Caenorhabditis elegans: one gene and its partners. The protein of the gene in region 1 interacts with the protein of each later gene in a pairwise test. Each region holds a gene or a part of one and is shown in the gene's direction. Other genes may lie near its edges.

Region 1 (7,335 bases):
AAAATACATACACACTGTAATTGTTAATCAGCAACTTAAAAAATCTTACCATTAAAAGAGAAATAAATCTTGAAAAGTTCAAAACCAGCTCCAGCAGTAAAGCCAACAAAGAACAATCCTTCCCATTTGGAAGAAAGTGAAGTGAGAGCACGTGAAAACGGACGAATCATCTGAAAAATCCAATTTTGGCTAGTTTAAAACTTCAAATCTCACTTTTTGAACGCAAATCCGGCCTTATCTGCCTCGATTAGTTCTCTCTCCAGAAGTTCTCGCTCTTCTTGACGGATTGGTCGCACAAACCTGGAATTTTATGGAAAGTTATATAAAATATAATGGATTTTAATCCTTTACTTGTAGTAGATTCCTGCGTTGATGATACAATATGAAGTACTGAAAACGAGGAAACCAAGGATGGATCGGACAATTACTGAAAAGAAAAAGAATTACTCAGGCAACTCAAATCTAATATGAAAATATTAAATAGCAATATTTTCGTAGTTGGGTGATATTTCAAGATAAAATCGCAATATTCCGAGACTTATTCGAAATCTTTTTAGATTGAGCAATCTTTTGAGAATATTTCGCAATATTTTGAGGTTGATTCGCAATATTTCTGAATCTGAAAATATTACGAAAAATTCGTAATATTTTGAGATGACATAGCAATCTTTTGAGATTGGTTCGCAATCTTTCTGAAATCTAAAAATATTACAAAAAAATGTGTAATATTCTAAGATTAATTTGCAATCTTTTTGCAGTCCATAAAGATTACAAAACACCATTTCCAAATTTCCATCGGCTTTACATGATCGTGATATATATACAACAATTATGATTACTGTTCCGTTCTAAATTCTCTTTTCTTCCAAATGATAAAAGACTTTTCAAAGTAAAAAACAGCTACATGAAAATCTATATAATGGAGCATCTCACTGTTAACGGATATTTGATTTTTCGTTGCATATTGTAGAAGGAGTTTTTGCAGAGAAAGCCATAGAATTCACAAATCTGTCCACTCATGTAATTTTTTCTAGATAATTGGCCGGTCATATTACAAATTCAGTCAAACAATCACGAAGATTGGTCGAATATATTAAAGTAGACTTACAACTATTCATTCACGCGTGATGCGTTTGAGATTTTCTGATTTCAATTGAAATCATAAAATATTGTCAACAGCAAGCATGTTCCCAGTATACTCATCATTTTAATCAAATTGTTAGTGAAAAAAAATATTGAAAAAATAAAATGTTTTTCTCTCTTTGACAAAAATTCGGAAAAATTGCACATCTAACTTTTTTAAAAGCATAACAAATAAATCGTTTTTCCACATTCGCTTTCAAAGAAAGTTATCCAATTTCGCTCTGACACTTAGAAAATTTGCGAAAAGTCACTGATTTCCCATCAAAGGTAACGAAAAGGACGTGCGCCCATCAACTATTTACTTAAGCAATAACTAAATCTAGATGCGACACGTACAGGATGGCTCAACAGGTAAGATAATGGTTTATAGACTCAACGACAAGCGACGGACAAGTTCAACTCCCCTCAATGGCAACAAAAGTTCTTCGAGTTATCACAAAACAGTTCTAGAATAGTCGATGAATGCATTTTTAATATTTAGAGACAAATTCGCAATATTTTGAGACAAAATCGCAATATTCTGAGACGAAATCTCAATCTTTGCAGATGAAATCTCAATCTTCGGAGACGAGTTCGCAGTCTTTTGAGACAAATTAGTAATATTTTGAGATAAAACGGAAGTCTTCCTAGAAATTTTCACACTTTCGCAATATTTTGAGATGAAATTGTAATCTTTTGAGACAAAATTGAAATCTATTCGAAATTTTTAGTAATCGTATATGGACGCACTATTTCTCGTTTTTACTACAAAAATATTGCTATTTAATATTTTCATATTAGATTTGAGTTGCCTGAGTAACTGGAAAATCAATCTTTCAAAGCATTACTCAGGCAACTCAAATCTAATATGAAAATATTAAATAGCAATATTTTTGTAGTAAAAACGAGAAATAGTGCGTCCATATACGATTACTAAAAATTTCGAATAGATTTCAATTTTGTCTCAAAAGATTACAATTTCATCTCAAAATATTGCGAAAGTGTGAAAATTTCTAGGAAGACTTCCGTTTTATCTCAAAATATTACTAATTTGTCTCAAAAGACTGCGAACTCGTCTCCGAAGATTGAGATTTCATCTGCAAAGATTGAGATTTCGTCTCAGAATATTGCGATTTTGTCTCAAAATATTGCGAATTTGTCTCTAAATATTAAAAATGCATTCATCGACTATTCTAGAACTGTTTTGTGATAACTCGAAGAACTTTTGTTGCCATTGAGGGGAGTTGAACTTGTCCGTCGCTTGTCGTTGAGTCTATAAACCATTATCTTACCTGTTGAGCCATCCTGTACGTGTCGCATCTAGATTTAGTTATTGCTTAAGTAAATAGTTGATGGGCGCACGTCCTTTTCGTTACCTTTGATGGGAAATCAGTGACTTTTCGCAAATTTTCTAAGTGTCAGAGCGAAATTGGATAACTTTCTTTGAAAGCGAATGTGGAAAAACGATTTATTTGTTATGCTTTTAAAAAAGTTAGATGTGCAATTTTTCCGAATTTTTGTCAAAGAGAGAAAAACATTTTATTTTTTCAATATTTTTTTTCACTAACAATTTGATTAAAATGATGAGTATACTGGGAACATGCTTGCTGTTGACAATATTTTATGATTTCAATTGAAATCAGAAAATCTCAAACGCATCACGCGTGAATGAATAGTTGTAAGTCTACTTTAATATATTCGACCAATCTTCGTGATTGTTTGACTGAATTTGTAATATGACCGGCCAATTATCTAGAAAAAATTACATGAGTGGACAGATTTGTGAATTCTATGGCTTTCTCTGCAAAAACTCCTTCTACAATATGCAACGAAAAATCAAATATCCGTTAACAGTGAGATGCTCCATTATATAGATTTTCATGTAGCTGTTTTTTACTTTGAAAAGTCTTTTATCATTTGGAAGAAAAGAGAATTTAGAACGGAACAGTAATCATAATTGTTGTATATATATCACGATCATGTGAAGCCGATGGAAATTTGGAAATGGTGTTTCGTAATCTTTATGGACTGCAAAAAGATTGCAAATTAATCTTAGAATATTACACATTTTTTTGTAATATTTTTAGATTTCAGAAAGATTGCGAACCAATCTCAAAAGATTGCTATGTCATCTCAAAATATTACGAATTTTTCGTAATATTTTCAGATTCAGAAATATTGCGAATCAACCTCAAAATATTGCGAAATATTCTCAAAAGATTGCTCAATCTAAAAAGATTTCGAATAAGTCTCGGAATATTGCGATTTTATCTTGAAATATCACCCAACTACGAAAATATTGCTATTTAATATTTTCATATTAGATTTGAGTTGCCTGAGTACTACAACTTGGAAAACATATTCGTCATGTTTCGATTAAATAAATCGTTGTCTAAATCATGTTCTTACCCTTATGAGCGATGTCAAGTCGACGATTTGTGAAGATTCTTCGGTAAAGCGGTCGACTGTCTTCTCTCCTTCGTGCCGCGAACTGAACTCGCGACCAAAACATTCACTGCAAAAATAAAAAAATAAAAAAATTAATTTCAAAGTTAAAAAAATGAACTGTAAAATAAGGAAAACACTTTAAAGATCACTTTGAAAAATATATTTTATTAAAATAAATAAATTTTATTGAAGCAATCGTTATCCGAGAGGAGTACACAGCAAATCGCACAGTTGAAACAAGTGTTACCGTACCACCGGTCTCGTTGCCTTTGATGAGAAATTACCGCAAAACTTGAAAATTGAACGTTTTTTTCTTTTCGTTTCTTTAAACGAGATCCGCTATTATTTTTGTTTCAAATTATATTATTTATAGATGGATTTAACCAAACTAACGTTTGAAAGCGTTTTCGGTGGATCAGATGTTCCTATGAAGCCTTCCCGATCGGAGGATAACAAAACGCCAAGAAACAGAACAGATTTGGAGATGTTTCTGAAGAAAACTCCCCTCATGGTACTAGAAGAGGCTGCTAAGGCTGTCTATCAAAAGACGCCAACTTGGGGCACTGTCGAACTTCCTGAAGGCTTCGAGATGACGTTGATTCTGAATGAAATTACTGTAAAAGGCCAGGCAACAAGCAAGAAAGCTGCGAGACAAAAGGCTGCTGTTGAATATTTACGCAAGGTTGTGGAGAAAGGAAAGCACGAAATCTTTTTCATTCCTGGAACAACCAAAGAAGAAGCTCTTTCGAATATGTAATGCTTTCAAGTTTATCAAATTGAATTATATTTCAATTGTTTTCAGTGATCAAATATCGGATAAGGCTGAGGAATTGAAACGATCAACTTCAGATGCTGTTCAGGATAACGATAACGATGATTCGATTCCTACAAGTGCTGAATTTCCACCTGGTATTTCGCCAACCGAGAATTGGGTCGGAAAGTTGCAGGAAAAATCTCAAAAAAGCAAGCTGCAAGCCCCAATCTATGAAGATTCCAAGAATGAGAGAACCGAGCGTTTCTTGGTTATATGCACGGTAGAACTGCTAATTAATAACTCGAAAATAATAAAAAATTTCAGATGTGCAATCAAAAAACCAGAGGAATCAGAAGTAAGAAGAAGGACGCAAAGAATCTTGCAGCATGGTTGATGTGGAAAGCGTTGGAAGACGGTATCGAATCTCTGGAATCATATGATATGGGTATGCCTCCAAATAATTGTAGTTAATATTTAATTTTACTGCTTTCAGTTGATGTGATTGAAAATTTGGAAGAAGCTGAACATTTACTCGAAATTCAGGATCAAGCATCCAAGATTAAAGACAAGCATTCCGCACTGATTGATATACTCTCGGACAAGAAAAGATTTTCAGACTACAGCATGGATTTCAACGTATTATCAGTGAGCACAATGGGAATACATCAGGTGCTATTGGAAATCTCGTTCCGGCGTCTAGTTTCTCCAGACCCCGACGATTTGGAAATGGGAGCAGAACACACCCAGACTGAAGAAATTATGAAGGCTACTGCCGAGAAGGAAAAGCTACGGAAGAAGAATATGCCAGATTCCGGGCCGCTAGTGTTTGCTGGACATGGTTCATCGGCGGAAGAGGCTAAACAGTGTGCTTGTAAATCGGCGATTATCCATTTCAACACCTATGATTTCACGGATTGAAAATATTATTGCGTATTCCTGAAAAATGAAGCGTCTGAATGATTATATCCTTTTTAAATATTTTTTTGAATAATGCCATTCAGAGTTGAAACTACTCGAAATTATATTTTTGTCGTTCTTTGTGTTTTCTCTCCCTCCATTACTTTTCCTCGTGTCAATTCTACTGTGATTGTTCTTTGTGTGCCTGCCGCGTGGTAAGATTGTGTGCGAAACGTCACAGTTTTGTGCGTTATGGTTTCTATTTCTATGAAGACAATGTGCTCTCACTCCATCAACGGGCGGCTGTGTTTTATCATTACCTCCATCACTTATAGAAACAGTAAATACCAATGATGTTCTTTGTCCGTTTTCTCCCCAACGTGGTTCCATCAATCATCAATAGAATTCTATAGAAGATGCGTAATCTCTATGCCTCTGACCTCTACAAAACTCTTTTCCACACTCATTCTCTGCAGTGCACGAGAGCGAGATTTAGAGAAGAAAAGAAAAAAGTGTGCGGCCTGCGCGCCGCCCGTCCTCATTTTTGAACGAGTGTGGGTCGCGGTCGCAAATTGTTTCACCTTCACAGCGTAGTTAAAATGTTTCAATAAAATTTATCATCATTTTCAAGTTCTCAAATGATAAATCTCATCTGTTTTTTTTAATTGCGTGACCCGCCACATTGATATGACGATGCAAGTTTTCCAATTTTAAATTTTCGTGATTTCCAGGTTTAATCCGACCAGAAAATGTCGCTCTCTGGAATGGCTATTCGCAGACTTATCACCAAGGGAGTCATCCCTGTGTGTCAAGTCGCTCCACTTTCAACATCTGCTGAAGGATCCACCAATTTGAAGGAGGTTCTTTCCAAGAAGATCCCAGCCCACAACGCTAAAGTGAAGTCATTCCGCACAGAGCACGGTAGCACCGTCGTTCAAAATGTGAACATTGACATGGTAAGCAACTACTAGGAAGTTTAAATTCATAGTCTCTTTTTCAAGATCTACGGAGGCATGAGAAGCATGAAGGGAATGGTCACCGAAACCTCAGTTCTTGACCCAGAGGAGGGAATCAGATTCCGTGGATACTCTATCCCAGAATGCCAAAAGCTTCTTCCAAAAGCAAAGGGAGGAGAAGAGCCGCTTCCAGAAGCCATTTGGTGGCTTTTGTGTACAGGAGATGTTCCATCCGAGGCCCAGACTGCCGCTATCACAAAAGAATGGAACGCCCGTGCCGATCTTCCAACCCACGTTGTCCGAATGCTCGACAACTTCCCAGATAACCTCCATCCAATGGCTCAATTCATCGCCGCTATCGCTGCTTTGAACAATGAAAGCAAATTCGCCGGAGCTTATGCTCGTGGAGTCGCCAAGGCCTCCTACTGGGAGTACGCTTATGAGGTAAACATCAAAAAACAACAGCTGTCTCTTTGAACGGATGACTGACATAAACAGTTTTCAGGACTCAATGGATCTTCTCGCTAAATTGCCAACTGTTGCCGCTATCATCTATCGCAACCTGTACCGTGATGGATCTGCAGTCAGTGTCATCGATCCAAAGAAAGATTGGTCCGCCAACTTCTCTTCTATGCTTGGATATGATGATCCACTTTTCGCTGAGCTTATGAGACTCTACCTTGTTATTCACTCTGATCACGAAGGAGGAAATGTATCCGCTCACACTTCCCATCTTGTAGGATCTGCTCTTTCTGATCCATACCTTTCCTTCTCCGCCGCCATGGCTGGACTTGCTGGACCACTCCACGGATTGGCTAACCAAGAGGTACTAAACTTTAATTTATTCTTATTTTATTAAAAACAATTTTTTCCAGGTTCTCGTTTTCTTGAACAAGATTGTTGGAGAAATCGGTTTTAACTACACCGAGGAACAACTTAAGGAATGGGTATGGAAGCACTTGAAGAGCGGCCAAGTTGTACCAGGATATGGACATGCCGTACTTAGAAAAACCGATCCAAGATACGAGTGCCAACGTGAATTCGCCCTTAAACATTTGCCAAACGATGATCTTTTCAAGCTGGTCTCGACTCTTTACAAGATCACTCCAGGAATTCTTCTCGAACAAGGAAAAGCCAAGAACCCATGGCCAAACGTGG
Region 2 (6,667 bases), on another chromosome or scaffold:
TATTATATTCACAACCAAAACTATATTACTAATCGAAAATTGCAGACGCTGTCCGAACAGTTGTAGGAGTGGTGTCGGGCGACGTCAACGTCTCGAAACAGAACCAGGACTGCGAACGCGGAGAATTTTGTCTGCACTCTCTCCGAAGAGAGTGCAGAGAAAACCAGAAACGGGTAGTAGACCACCCAGTCGGTTAACTACGGTGGATTGGAAGAAGTGACCAGCAAGAAATTTCAATGTAAAAATAAGAGAGATTTCCATTTATTTCAATTGTAACTGTAATGGAGGTGGATCCGGGTTCAGATGATGTAGAAGCTGACAGAGAAACGAGAGCTCAGAAACTAAAATTAAAGTAAGTTAAATTTTTTAATGTTTTTTTTTGTTGAAATTGTTTTAAATTCTTTAATTCACATCCAGTCAAACTAAAATGATCAAAAACTAGGTTTTCAGAAGAAATGTCAAATTCCGTGCACAAATGAGAAGATTCGACGAGTACTGTGGAGTGACTAATTTAACAGTAGATGATCTCAATTGGCCTTTAATATCTGGAATTCCTTTACAAAGACAACGATTGACAGGAGCTACGTATTATGATGATAGTCTTCTCGATCAAAATCCTTGGGATGAATTTTCAATTGATCGATTTCTTGAAATTACTTCAATTCAATTAATAACAGCCGGTGCTGGATATGAAAGGAATGATGAAATTACTCGATTCGTTTTTCAAAGAACAATGAAGACAATTGTAACTTATTGCAATTTTATGTATGATTTGGCAAGGCGGAACGGGAAAGTGTGAGGCGAATCTGAAATTTTATAAAATAAAATTTTAATTTTCAGTCAAATAACTCGATTCGAGTTGCAAGATTTGATTCATCGCGATGAATTTCGGTTTTACATGTATTTTCGACAATTTTTAGTGAGTTTCCTTGTTTTATCATAAATTAAAACAAGCTCTACTTACCCGATTTTTTTTTCGATTTTTGAACCAAAAAAGGGATATCCGACTCGACACGACAATTTTTAGTTAAATAAAAACGGGTGTGTGCCTTTAATAAGTACTGTAATTTTAAACTTTCGTCGCTGCGGAATTTTCTTAGTTTTTCGGAAAATTGTTTTAATTAAAAAACTAAAATTACGCAATTACCAAAAAAAAACAGGGATTTTAAGAAATCAGGAAAACATGTAAAAACCGGTGAAAATTTAACAAAAACAAAATCTTGAAATTCCAGTACTCTTCAACGGCGCATTTCCGTTTGTATTTTACTTTTTTTAAAATCCTAATTCCAGCCCAATCCGGATCCGAATTGTACGGCCTTTTCCAATCACTACACGTCTCTTCTTCATACACTCTATTTCAATATTCCGGGAATGCCACAGTTTTGGAACAATTCCCAAATGTATAATTACGCTGCTACCCGTGGTCAACGCCTTGTTCAAAATATCGCCGCTTTTTATCCACCCGAATATTTTTGGAACGAAGATGAATCCAAGTATCATACTACGTTTGTGGTTCCACGTGGCACAGAGTTCTCAAAGTTTTATGCTCGAAGATTTCATGAAGCACTTGGAATGCCACCACTGGAAAATGAGATTATTACGGTTTTGGATTGGCTTGCGAAGCTCTGCATTTTGGAAGTAAGCATTTTAAAAATGTTATTTATGTACTCATATATTAATTTAAAGCTTTTAAGCGTTAAAAACTATTTTACATTTGTAGATTGTATATCACACAACGATTTGGTGCGACATAACTGGATTTGGAGGGCTTCCACGTATTGAGCACTATCGTTTAGCCATGGAGAATGTTGGTAGGAATTTATTGTTAAAATAATTTAAAAGTATATACATGACATGTTTTTCAAAATATAAAACACAATTTTTTTAAAGCGAAACTTTAAAAAATCATCAAAAGTCGAATAGCGTAAAGGGAATTTTTGTTTTCATAGTCGCAAATTTCTAAATTCTACAACAGAAAGACAAAAAATCGACATAAAAAATCCATCGTTTGAAAACATGCTTTTTCGATTTTGGCATTTTTTTGTATTGAATTCAAACCCGGATGTTAGCAAAAATTTTTAAAAAATCACGTTTTCGGTATTACTAAATTCTCCACATTTAAAAAGAGTCCATTCTGAAACTTTTTCGATTAAAAAATTTCTTTCACAACTATGTTTTGTTCTAATTTCAGAAGACATCATATTCGACTTGGCAATTGATGATTTCTCAATTTCCCGTCTACAGTTACAAATTTCGCCGTTTGAAATCTCTCGCTACTCACCTCTAGATGTATCTGGTTATTATGAAACAATTAAAAGAAAAAAAGATATTGAAGAATATCAAAATCGTTTCTATGAAGTTCATTATTCTGATGATGTTCGGATTATGAATGTTTATGCTACTGATTGCTCCAGGAAACGATGATATCAATTGTTATAATGATTTGCTTTTAATTTTAATATTATTTCATTTGAAAGTCTAACTCTCTATATTTTACCCAGATTTCCTATTTAATATCACCGATTTGCCTTCTATCTCACTAACGCTTCTTGTGTCATTCACTTTCGAATCCTCTGGTTTACATTTTGAAAAATGTCATAATGGTACACTGCTAAAAAAAGCTGGTTCCATATCACTTTAATTTGTTTTAAGATTTGTTTAATTTAAAATAAAGGTATAGATAATATCGATTAAGCTGCTTACAATTGGTTAGACGCTACGCAAGTGCGCTCTGGTAGACAAACAATAGCATCTGTTGAGTGCGCAGTTGGTTTACACTCATTCAAATGTGTACGGGTGTGGCATTCGAAACATTTCGAATGAAACACTAAGAGTTCCAGTTGCTTTTACGAGTTTTTGTGTAATTTTCAGTTGATTTAACGTTTATTGCTCATTGCTAGAAGCCGAACTACAAAAAACCCACTATTTGGCAATTAGTCTACTACGACTCAATTGGTAAAATATTTCGAAAGTTATATTTTTCCAATATAACCATCAATTTCATAATGTAGCATCTTTCCTTCAATTTTTAATATTTTTTTGTCATTCTGAATAAAAAAGTACAAAAGTCATGCTGAAAAGGATACATATCGATACAATTCCACATGAATATAATTTGAATTTCTATTCAACTGATATACATTACACATATTCGCGTGTGCTAGAAAACTCGTATTTTCCCATTCGATACATCATCTGCCAACTTTCTTAACAATCCCAAGATCGTCACCCTTTCCTCCACAGCACCAGTCCCGCCTTTTTAACAACGATCTGTTTTTAATGGATGCTCGATCTATATGCATTAATTCATTCTATCATTCATTTACCGAGATGGTCATAACATATTTCATTTATTTATGGTTTTTTTTGCTTTTCCAATGTATTATAGTTATATGAAATTCTCTGTAGTTCTAAAGTAAGTCGCATTTTACCAATCTTTTGTATATATTTTTAAAGCTTTGCTAAACTAAGAAAAATTATACAGGCTAGATTTTTCTAAACTTTATAATTTACAATCTTTAAATTTTGATGTCCAAGTTCCTCTTGATAAGAATCGAGCACTTTATAAAGAAACTACGAATTTAATAATCAATCTTCAACAACTCCCCCAAATTGGTAATTTCTGTGTTTTATTTTTTGATGTCACCTACCTATTCTAATTAAAATAATACTATCTCTGCCAATTTGATAAACGACCTTTCCCATCTTCTCCGAAGTTCCAAGTAGCCATCTCCAGATACTCCATCCACCTAGTCTATCGATTGAAAAGTCTTCACTTCCAAACGCTGCGTTTACCTATTTCCCCATTCTCAGAGAATATCCCACACAGAGTCAATCATTCATTCCGCCGACTTGGTCTCTTTTCCATTTCATTATTTTAATTTATGTACAACAATAGTCAATTGACTATATTAGTTCTCTTATTGCCATTTGCTCACCCTCTTTCAATGTTACATCTCAGCTTTCTACATTCATTGCCTTCAATCAATTATTTATGAATCAAATTTCAGAGAACTTCTATCAAAATGGCTCGTGCTATTGCTATCGATGCTCCACTTTCCGCTGGAATCAGAAGAACAAAGAAAAGTCCAATCAAAAGAGCATCAGTTGGTGGAGTTAAAAAGAGATTCTCCACTGGAACTGCTGGACCATCAAGAAGACCAACTGCGCAACCAAGACGCCAAAGTGGAGGAATCAGAACAGTTGACAGATCTATTCCAGCAAATGGTAAGTTATAAATGCCATTTTGCTCTTAAGTTATGGTTAACATTTCCAGAAAACCGTGAAGTACGTATCAACTTGTCAAACTTGGCCCACACCGTTCACTCCGGGGACCTTCGTCAACTCTTCGCTGAATTCAAAATTCGAAACGTCTCCGTGAACTTCAACGAGCACGGAAAACCAGTAGGAACCGGAGATGTGACTCTCCCAAAACGTCACGCTGATCGTCTCATCCAAAAGTTTGCCGGAGTCTCACTCGACGGAAAGGAGATCAAATTCGCTATCATTGATTCAGCAAATATTGCAAACCGTGTCAAGTTCCCAGAAGCTCCAAGAAGAGCTCCATCAAATGGAAGACCAGCTCAAAGAGCACCAAAAAGGCAGAATGTTAAATCAGGAAAACCAACAGGAGGGGCTGGAGCTCAAAAGAAATTGAAGGCCAAGAAGCCAAAGAGAGAAGCTCAACCAAAGAAGACACTCGAAGAGTTGGATGCGGAGCTCGATGTGTATATGTCAAAAGCCTAATAATTTAATTTAATCCAAATTTTACTTGTTTGTTCTCATGTTTTCATAACTTATAATTTTGTACCTAATAAAAACATCAAAAGCTAGAACACCCGTGTTTCGTGTATTTAAAAAGAAATCATATTGAACGGCGAACAAACGGTAAAGCTAAAATCTCCTCGTAAACAAAGTAATTTCATTATTATATTTGTTCAAAATTATTTTTAAAAAACATTAAAATGAATCAAACCAAAAAAGGAGGTGTCGATAGAAATATATTAGTTCCCATATCATCCCTTCGTCAGTCAAATGGAAATGCCCATTTCAATCGTTTTTAGGCGGTACGTGATCAAACACACACTGAAAAGAAGTGCCAATTAGGGATGCGAACGTTCATTTATTTATCTCTTTTGTCATTTGATGGTGCCCATAAAACTGTTTTCTTTCCGTTTCAAATGTGATTATTATGCTTCTTCTTCATTGCTTACTCTTGTTCTTTCATTTAAAAACTACAAATTTATAGTGAAATCATTCAAATTGTTTGCAAAAACAGAGCTCTGTCTCTCTATTTTTTCTTTGCAAATTTATTTTCATCATCCTGTTCCACTCTTTCTTCGTTTCCGCCGAGAAATCCACTTGACCCATAATCAATCATCAAAATACACTCGAGCGATCCTTTTTTTTGAGTTTTGATGAGATTTTGAACTTTCTTGAAATGGTTTTTATTTTTCTACTTTAGCATGTGTACTGTTCACATTAGATTTGGAGTAGCGACAGTGGGGAAATTTATAGCAAGAATATCAAAGAAAACACCTTTGGAATATTAAAAATACATTTTATTATAAGTCAAAAGTACGAACTATGAATACTCAATACTTTGAAATTTTTGAAAAACTAAAAAAAAAGACGTTTAAACGAAGTTTATTTTAAATTATTTTTAAAATAATTTTCCAGTGTAGATTAGAGTGTAAGGTAATGTAAGGGCGATCAGAAAACTCCAAATTTCAAAAATTTGTTAAGTTGCCAAAACTTTAAATCATAGTATTTTCAAATTGTTCATAGGGTTTTTGATTACGGTACTCTATCATTTCGGAGTGTATATTTTTTTAGTTCAAAAATATACTATTACAAGGAGAAAACATTACTCATATACTAAACGTTTGGTCTTTTCATTTTATACAATTACATCTTTCACAGTAGTTAAGCGTACTTTAAATTAATTAAAAACAATTGTTTACTCTATTAAAATGCTCTGAAACTCAGAAATTCTCCACAATTTCTTTGCCAGCTTTTACATCAACCTTAGAAATTATTCAGATTTTATTCATAAAGTTTCTAACGTGGATTAAGAAAGATGATATGGCCGTAACACTGTTGATAACTTGCTGAATGAGAATAATTGTTGTTTTTTGTACTTATATTCAGCTTCACCCATCTAAAAAATCACTGAAAACCTACTTCTCTCAGTTATTGTAAACCTTGTTGTATTAGTCAGAGAGATGGAGAAATAGAGTGATTGATGATAACAAAAAGCGAAAACGATTGATAACATTGTACATATTTACATACGTGATTACATCTTCAGAAAATTTCTTTGCTACTCAGAGACTTGGTAATAATTCCCGAGGAAATTTGTTTCTATTGCATATTATTCAGAAATAAAAATCCTGATGGTCGCGTACGGTTTGTGGTATTTAGGCTTCTCCCACAATTTATGTTTGTAATGATTTTACATATGTGTGGGAAATCATTGTTAAATCGTGACTTGATGCAAAAAAGTATGAATGTTTTTTTAAAAAGTTAATAGAAACTACAAACATTAGATTTGAAGCTTCATGTAATAGTCCTGTTAGACGAGCTTCAATATTTAATTTGTATTCCTTTTTAGTAACTTAAACTCCGAAAAACAGCTCATCAATAAAAAGTTCTCTCGACAACAGCT
Region 3 (7,548 bases), on another chromosome or scaffold:
GTAATTCAACTTTTAGCCAAAGCAGTCAAAGTCTACTCAGACGGTCGAGTCAACGATGCTCATTCCATTAATGATCTTGCAATGTACAACTACGAAGAACTCAAGGATCTTGTGAATAAAAGCTCCTACAAACTTCGTAAAAAGTTTGATACAATCATGAACTCAATATTTCCAAAAAGCTGGATTCCATTGTACTCTATGGTTACTTTCTCACGAATTCCATACTCGGAAGTAATTGAAAGAAGAAAAAGGCAAGATAAGATTCTGTCAAGAATAATGACAACTACATCTACATTAGCTTTGATTGGGGCTGCTGCTGGTATTTATGTGAATAGAGGAAAACTTGGTTTATAGCTTTTATTGTTTAATGATGCGTGTTTTTTAGAAAGTTCAAAAAAATCTGATGATAAATTTTTACAAGAGTTTTTTCCCGACTTTACATTATCATTACTGCTGTTTGGTTCTATGCACAGATGATTGTTTATCTATAGTTTCATCTATGCGGCCTGTCTGTCGTTATATTGTGACCTACATTCTTCCCACTTGCTCTTTTGGCCTCCCCGTCGCTGTGTAAAAGGTGATGGTAAATGAGAGTTATTCTAGTCCCATAGTGGCAATAGCGGAACCAGGGGTGTGCGGCAAATCTCAAAATTTGCCGAGCTCGGCAAATTCGGCATCTCTCTTTTTTCAATATTTGCCGAGCACGGCAAATTCGGCAAATTTGCCGTGCTTAACAAACTCGGAAAATTTTGATAATTTTTGATGTTTTTTGGAACACCAAAACTACCGAATTCGTAACACACATCTGGTTTCTGAATTAGTTCCGTGTAGTATGTCTAGTTGAGCATAAAACTAACTCAATTTTGTGTCATTTTACTAAATTTTTGGCGAAAAAATCAATCAAAATTGTACTGTAAAATTTTTGACGTGTGCGGCAAATTTCGAAATTTGCCGAGCTCGGCCAATTCGGCAAATCTACTTTTTTGAAATTTGCCGTGCTCGGCAAATTCGGCAAATTCGGCAAGTTTGCCGCACACCCCTGAGCGGAACCCCCGTCACAACTAGAATGGTATATTTGGGGGGTCGACCAAGGACTACAGAAAGTAAAACAATTCAATCACGTATTTGACACGCTGAAGATTTATTTAATTTACTTGTTTTTCTTCCTAAATAATTCATTTCTGAACAATGCCGTCAGTTGTGATAGCTGGTGGAGGTCTTGTTGGATCTGCGAATGCGTGTTTTTTTGGACAGAAGGGATGGATTGTGGATGTCTACGAGTCGCGTTTTGATCCACGTGGAAACCATATGGAAAATGGAAAAAGTATTAATTTGGCATTAGGCGTTCGTGCAATGAGTACAATGAAGAGAATTGGTCTGAAGGAAAAAGTTATTCATATTGGTGTGCCAATTCGAGATCAAATTGCTCATTTTGGGGACACAAAAGGAAAACTGAAGAGACTACCTGTTCTCAATGATGACGATGTAAGTAGAAGTTCAAGAGTACACATCATTGCTTAACTTATATTTATGAATTTTCGTCGTTTTTATTTTGTAATATCTGAAAATTAACCGAAATATGAGGTGTCAAAATGTAATGCACAGTGTCAATGAGCTAATAGAGAATTTTTTATCGAAAACAATTAATTTAAACTATTTTAGTTCATTCTCACAATAAATCGTCAAGAACTGAGCCAAATATTGATCAACGAAGCGGAAAAATATAATAATGTTAAGTGAGTTCAACATCACAATTAATTAAGCAAACAGATTTTACAATTACAGATTTCATTTCAATTGTAAAGCAACCAAATTTGACTTGAAAAGTGAATCTCTGATTGTACAGAATTCGGATAATTTGAGTACTGTAGATGGTGATCTGTTTCTGGCTTGTGATGGAGCACACTCTTCAATTAGAAGAAGCCTTCTCAAGGCTCCAGGTTTCAATTTCAGTCAAAAGTATTCGGAATTCGGTTATATTGATCTGAGTGTAAATTCTACACAACAATGTGATCTAAAATTGGGAACACATTATTCCTGGAGAAGAAGAGGTATTATCCTTGTTGCCATTGTAAATAAAGATCAGTCATTGACTGGTAAGACTTATATTGGAATTATATCTATCTAAAGTCAAAATTTTCAGTTTCGATGTTCGCCACGTTCTCAGAGTTCGAGTCTAATTTGGTTGGTCCCGTAGAATCTGTTTTGTTTTTTAAGAACAATTTTTATGAAATCTTCAAGATTCTTGGAGAGTGAGTGGCTTCATTTTTCCTTGTTGTTTTCGAACGAATATTATTCTAGAGATCACATCAGAAACACAATTGCCAGAAACAAACCGCAGGCAATTATAAGTGTTCAATGCTCACAGCACGTCTTCTTCGACAAATTGGTATTGATGGGCGATGCAGCACATGCAATGGTTCCATTCAATGGTCAAGGTGTCAATTGTGGATTTGAGGATTGCCTTGTGTTGCAGGAAATTATGGATCAATATGAGGAAGATGAATTGGAAGATGTTATCAAAGAGTATTCAAAAGTTAGAACAAATGAGACGAATATCATTAATCAAATGGAATGGGATGTCAATTTAACGGTTAGATTTCTACATTTTATATTTCTTCGGGTGCTCATCTTGTAAGTAAGATTCTTGATTCTATATTGATAAGTGTCAAAATTCTACGAAAACATAAATACACAGTTCTGAAACATAATACTTTTACTATAGCGAGATTTCATGTTACTTGATAATTTTTGTTACAGCTCACGAGTTCCGTCCATGGCAGCCTGGGATGGATTCGAGAAATACGTGCACACATAAAACTATTGTTATGCTTCATTTTCCCATCATCGTTCACATTGGCAGCCTTCTCTCGGGAGAAATACTCTGAAATTGCCAGAAAAGCACAGATCGTCGAGAAGTGCACATCCTTATTCACAAACGTTTTCATTGTTTTCATAATTTCTGTCATTAGCCTCTTTTGGTATTGTGTGTTGGCAGTTTTATGGGCGAATTGACACCAAGATATACTCTACAGTACTCGGATACTGTAGAGGAAATCTTCAAGCATACTGTCTGCAATGTGCCGTCGTTTCTGGTGTTTGCGTCCAAGAAGTCTCGTGATTTAAAAACAAGTACCGATATTTTAAAAACGATTTTCTTTGCTGAATAAATATATTTATAAATACTGTTTTTCAGACATTTATTGAATTAAAATCCGTTTTTTCCTTAAATTTATGAAATTCCCCAATACGAACTATGTATTCTCTCGTTGCTCACTATGAAACCCACTTGAATGTTCCACCTTGCCCACCGAAATCGATTTTTTTTTTAATTTTTTTTACATCAGTGCAAACATTAACAGCTGTCTAGTGCACACTCAGACCGGTCGGTTCTGCTGCTATGCAGTAATATCTGTTTGCTCACCGATCATCAGTTTTATTATTTTCAAAAAAGAAACAGCATTTAAAACGGGAATTTGTTTTTTTCAACGTATAGGCCAAACACTGAATAATTTGGTTTTGTTATAATTGCTCTTCTACGCTGTGAGTCATCAATCGATAACCGCTCCGCAACCGCAATTGCCGTTCGTACTCTGCCACGCGACTTTCCCATCTGCTCTTCTTCTCTCACTCTCTTTCCCCCTCACTCTCTCTCTCACATTTTCGTTCATTCTATTCACCATCTTGTTACACTCATATCGTCTTATATTTTTCATTGTCTGTTCTTTTCTTTCTAAAAACAGTTTATTTTCAGTTTTATCCGCATTCTTCATATCGTTCATCGAAATGGCTGAAAAAATCAACATGTCTCTGGATGAAATCATCAAGCATGGCCAGAAAAAAGTGAAGTCCGAGCGAGTATCTGCACCAGCAGGAGCATCTACTAGCAACAAAGCTGGAAACAAACCCGTGAGTTTTAAAATAAAATAAGCAACTTTTAAGAATAAATAATTTTTATAGACTCGCCCAGGAAATGCCGGAAGAAACAACCGCAGAGTCCCACCAAGAAAGAGTGCTCAAGTTGTTTTGGCGAACAAGGTTTTGAAGAAATCGAAAGCAATTGCTGCTCGTCGTGCAGCTGGAGGTCAAAAACGCGTTTTCGGTGCCCGTGGAAAACCTGCTGCGGCTGCAGGATTGAGCGCTGTTGCCACCAAGAAGCTGGTTAATAAGCTCGTCAAGGTAAATCTTGTTTATATAATTCATTCTAATAAACCATCACATTACAGAATGCCCTTCGCAAAAGAACCAATATCACGACTGTTCCAGTCGTTCGTAAGCGTGGAGTACGTTTTTACCAGATTTTGTTCTATAGTTGAATATCGAGCTTTGAAAAATGGATTCTTGAAGTGAAATCTGGATACCACACGCATTAAGCGTTGTAGTAAAAGGCTAAAAATCAGGTCGAGAGTTTGATTTATTCCTCTCGTGTCGCGATAGAACCTAGACGTTCTTCGTGTTTTTTGAAACCGCGATGAATAGTTGGAAATACGATCATCCACTATTGAAAACCTGATAGAAAGCCAGGCTTCTGCCAAAAAATCAGAACAGATGGTCTCAATTTGTGTGAAGTTCCTTCCGGAGAGACAGACAGCAACTTCTCCTCAGCTTCTTCAGCGTGTCGAGAGTTCTTCCAATCTTTCACGGAGGTAAGGTAAATGATTTCAGGGTGTTGCTGCTTCAACTCTTGCCGCCAGACGAAATTTTGCATTGAAACGAAATGTCACTGCTGCCCAAGTGATTCAACCTGTGAGAACAATCATCCAACAGAGACCAATAACGGCTCCTGTTCGTACTATCGTACAGCATGTTCGTCAAGCTCCAGTCAAAGTTGTTCGCCAAATCATCACTGCTCCTGTGCAATCTCAAGTGATTCGTAGAGCACCGCAACAACAAGTTCGTCAGAACCGTCCACAGCAGAGACGCAATGTGATTATTCAATCACAGCAATCGAGAAGATTCCGTCCAACAAACAACAACAATAATAATCGTCCAACAGTCATTCGTCGTCAAGTCGTTCAACAAGTTCCAAGACGCGCTCAAGTTCAAAGACCACAGGTAAAAATTCATTATTATTCAGTATCCAGTGTCAGAATTATATTGTTCGTTTTCAGTATGAGCAGGTCGTGCAAAGAGTAATCCAGACTCCAGTGGCTCAGCAACGTTTCCAACGCCAGCCACAACGCTTCCAGCAACAGCAACCTCGTTTCCAGCAACAACCCCCGCGCTTCCAGAGACAGCAGCAGCCACAACAACAGCAAGTTGTGAGAAGCGTCAGATATGTGAATGCAAGACCACCTGTTCAGAGAAACAATGTTGTTCGTCAAGTGAGTATTCAAACTTTTATTTGCTAGAATTGAATTAAAGATTATGATTGAGTTTTACAATACTAGCCACCAATTGGATTAATATTATGAAACATAAATCTTAGGAATCTGTGGTGACCAATATATTGGTTTTTCAGGTTCAGCCAGTTCAATATCGTCCAGTCCAATACGTCACTGATCAGGTTGTCAACTCTCGTGGTCGTGGATTCCGTGCCTTCTAATTTCATCAACTCGTACACAATCAAGGATACTCAGAAGCTGCGTAGTTGTCTACACACCTTGCTTCATTTTATAAATTTATAATTCCTTCTTCCATAAACACCATGTTTAATAAAATACTCCGCCATACTCATTCTATTCACATCCAACAATAAACATGTTGCGTGTCTATCGAAATTAGTTACTTCTCTTATGTCTACAATAAGTTCAGTTGGATTTATTTCAACATTTCAGATGACATCCCGTAACAGGGTGCGAACAAGTTCTAATAGGTAAGAGACTAAATATCACTTGACTTCTCGGAAATAATATTTTTCAGTCTGGATCCAAATGAAGATCCTGTGTCGGGGCTAGAACGAGTCATGTCAAACTCGAATCTAGAACACGTTGCTCGGCAAAGAAGACGACTAGTGCGGGCAAAAACCAGCAATTTTTTCTGAAAATCAAGTTATTTCAGGAGGAAGAGCTGTTATTCTCAAGGCAATTGGATGATGTTGGTCGAACGGATAGCCATGAAGCATTGTCTGCTAGATACGAAAGTCTGAACTATGAAATATCTGAGAATCGACTCTATAGAGATGCTGAAAAGAAACCATCTCACCAGGTTTTGAGATTTCATAGATACAGTAACAATGTCACTTTTCAGTTAACTCTTTGGCGAATTTCTCGAAATCGTTGGTTTGTATGCTTTTTGATTGGAGTTTTCACTGGACTCGTCGCTGCATTTATTGATATTATGGTACACTACAGTAAAGATATCAAATTTAACTGGATTCTCAAATATTGTCAGTTATACTTATCTAACTAATCTATTGAAAACGAAACATTCAGTGCTCTCAAAGTGTGGCGAAGAGCAACGTGGAACGACTGCAGGGTGTATGTGGACCGTAATGATAGCTTGGATAGGATATAATTGTGTTCTCGTAACTATAGCTGCAATCCTTGTGATTTATGTAGCTCCGATTGCTGGAGGTTCTGGAATTCCTCAAATAAAGTGTTATCTTAACGGAATTGCGATTCCTGAGGTGTCATTTCCAGCTCAAAAATTTCTGAAACTTTCGTTTTTTCCAGGTTGTTCGTCTCAAAACGCTCGTTTCAAAAGCAGTTGGAGTTGCATGTTCGGTTGGCGGTGGTCTTTGTGCTGGAAAAGAAGGTCCTATGATCCATTCTGGAGCTGCTGTAGGAGCTGGGATATCACAGGGAAAAAGTTATTCCCTTGGAATCGATTTCGGACTTTTCCGCGAGTTTAGAAATGATCGAGAAAAAAGAGATTTCGTTTCTGCTGGTGCTGCTGCTGGAGTTGCTGCTGCTTTCGGAGCACCAATCGGAGGAGTTCTATTCTCTTTAGAAGAAGGAGCAAGCTTTTGGAATCAAGCTTTGACATGGAGAATGTTTTTCTCTGCAATGATCTCTTCATTCACTGTAAATTGGATTCTCAGTTGGTTCAATGGACGTAGTGGATGGCTCTCATGGACAGGTCTCGCGAATTTCGGAGTTTTCGAAAATAAGGATTATAATATTTGGGAAATTCCTTTGTTTCTTCTCATTGGAATAATTGGAGGCTGTCTTGGAGCTTTATTCAATTATTTAAATACAAAACTCACCGAGTTCCGTAAAAAATATGTGAGCAGCAAACTGGGTCGTTTGTTCGAATGTCTTCTTGTTGCCGCGGTATCAGGATTTCTTGCTTTCCTCACAATATTCGCAATTGACGATTGTCAGCCGATAGGAGCGAATCCTACAGCAACATCAACACAAATCAATCAAATGTGGTGCAAAAAAGGAGAATATTCTGCAGTAGCTTCTTTATTTTTTCAAAATCCTGAAGAAAGTGTGAAGAGTATGTTTCATAGTCCGATAAGTAAGTTTGATCTTTCAAAAACATTTAAGATCCAAATATTTTCAGATTCTTTTGGTGTCACAACTCTTGTTATTTTTGGAATTGAATATTTCTTGCTCACTCTCTGGACGTTCGGAATCTCTGTACCTTCTGGTGTCTTCATTC

What was found.
Region 2: the proteins of rde-4 (region 1) and aly-1 interact in a two-hybrid assay, tested with the Caenorhabditis elegans proteins (2 studies listed by BioGRID).
Region 3: the proteins of rde-4 (region 1) and pqn-53 interact in a two-hybrid assay, tested with the Caenorhabditis elegans proteins (one study listed by BioGRID).

Annotation. Positions count from the first base shown.
Region 1 is NC_003281.10:10,215,253-10,222,587, reverse strand, and holds rde-4 (DRBM domain-containing protein), read left to right. Parts: upstream 1-3,941; 5' UTR 3,942-3,943; coding exon 3,944-4,323; intron 4,324-4,372; coding exon 4,373-4,604; intron 4,605-4,648; coding exon 4,649-4,769; intron 4,770-4,817; coding exon 4,818-5,242; 3' UTR 5,243-5,286; downstream 5,287-7,335. Other genes in the region: Y70G10A.4 (ATP synthase subunit e, mitochondrial), read right to left, coding at 50-170; cox-14 (Cytochrome c oxidase assembly factor 3), read right to left, coding at 167-170, 214-300, 352-427, 3,532-3,634; cts-1 (putative citrate synthase, mitochondrial), read left to right, coding at 5,971-6,177, 6,223-6,621, 6,683-7,003, 7,053-7,335.
Region 2 is NC_003282.8:9,104,921-9,111,587, forward strand, and holds aly-1 (Chromatin target of PRMT1 protein C-terminal domain-containing protein), read left to right. Parts: upstream 1-4,010; 5' UTR 4,011-4,025; coding exon 4,026-4,227; intron 4,228-4,276; coding exon 4,277-4,746; 3' UTR 4,747-4,833; downstream 4,834-6,667. Other genes in the region: Sex-determination protein fem-3, read left to right, coding at 282-352, 451-795, 841-919, 1,291-1,638, 1,721-1,811, 2,192-2,424.
Region 3 is NC_003283.11:12,061,598-12,069,145, reverse strand, and holds pqn-53 (Prion-like-(Q/N-rich)-domain-bearing protein), read left to right. Parts: upstream 1-3,754; 5' UTR 3,755-3,786; coding exon 3,787-3,909; intron 3,910-3,960; coding exon 3,961-4,179; intron 4,180-4,226; coding exon 4,227-4,283; exon of another isoform or gene 4,284-4,665; coding exon 4,666-5,055; intron 5,056-5,111; coding exon 5,112-5,324; intron 5,325-5,461; coding exon 5,462-5,545; 3' UTR 5,546-5,714; downstream 5,715-7,548. Other genes in the region: kmo-1 (Kynurenine 3-monooxygenase), read left to right, coding at 17-354; kmo-2 (FAD-binding domain-containing protein), read left to right, coding at 1,189-1,485, 1,663-1,736, 1,786-2,096, 2,144-2,252, 2,302-2,593, 2,761-3,015; clh-6 (Chloride channel protein), read left to right, coding at 5,778-5,815, 5,863-5,953, 6,001-6,147, 6,190-6,328, 6,375-6,568, 6,615-7,404, 7,450-7,548.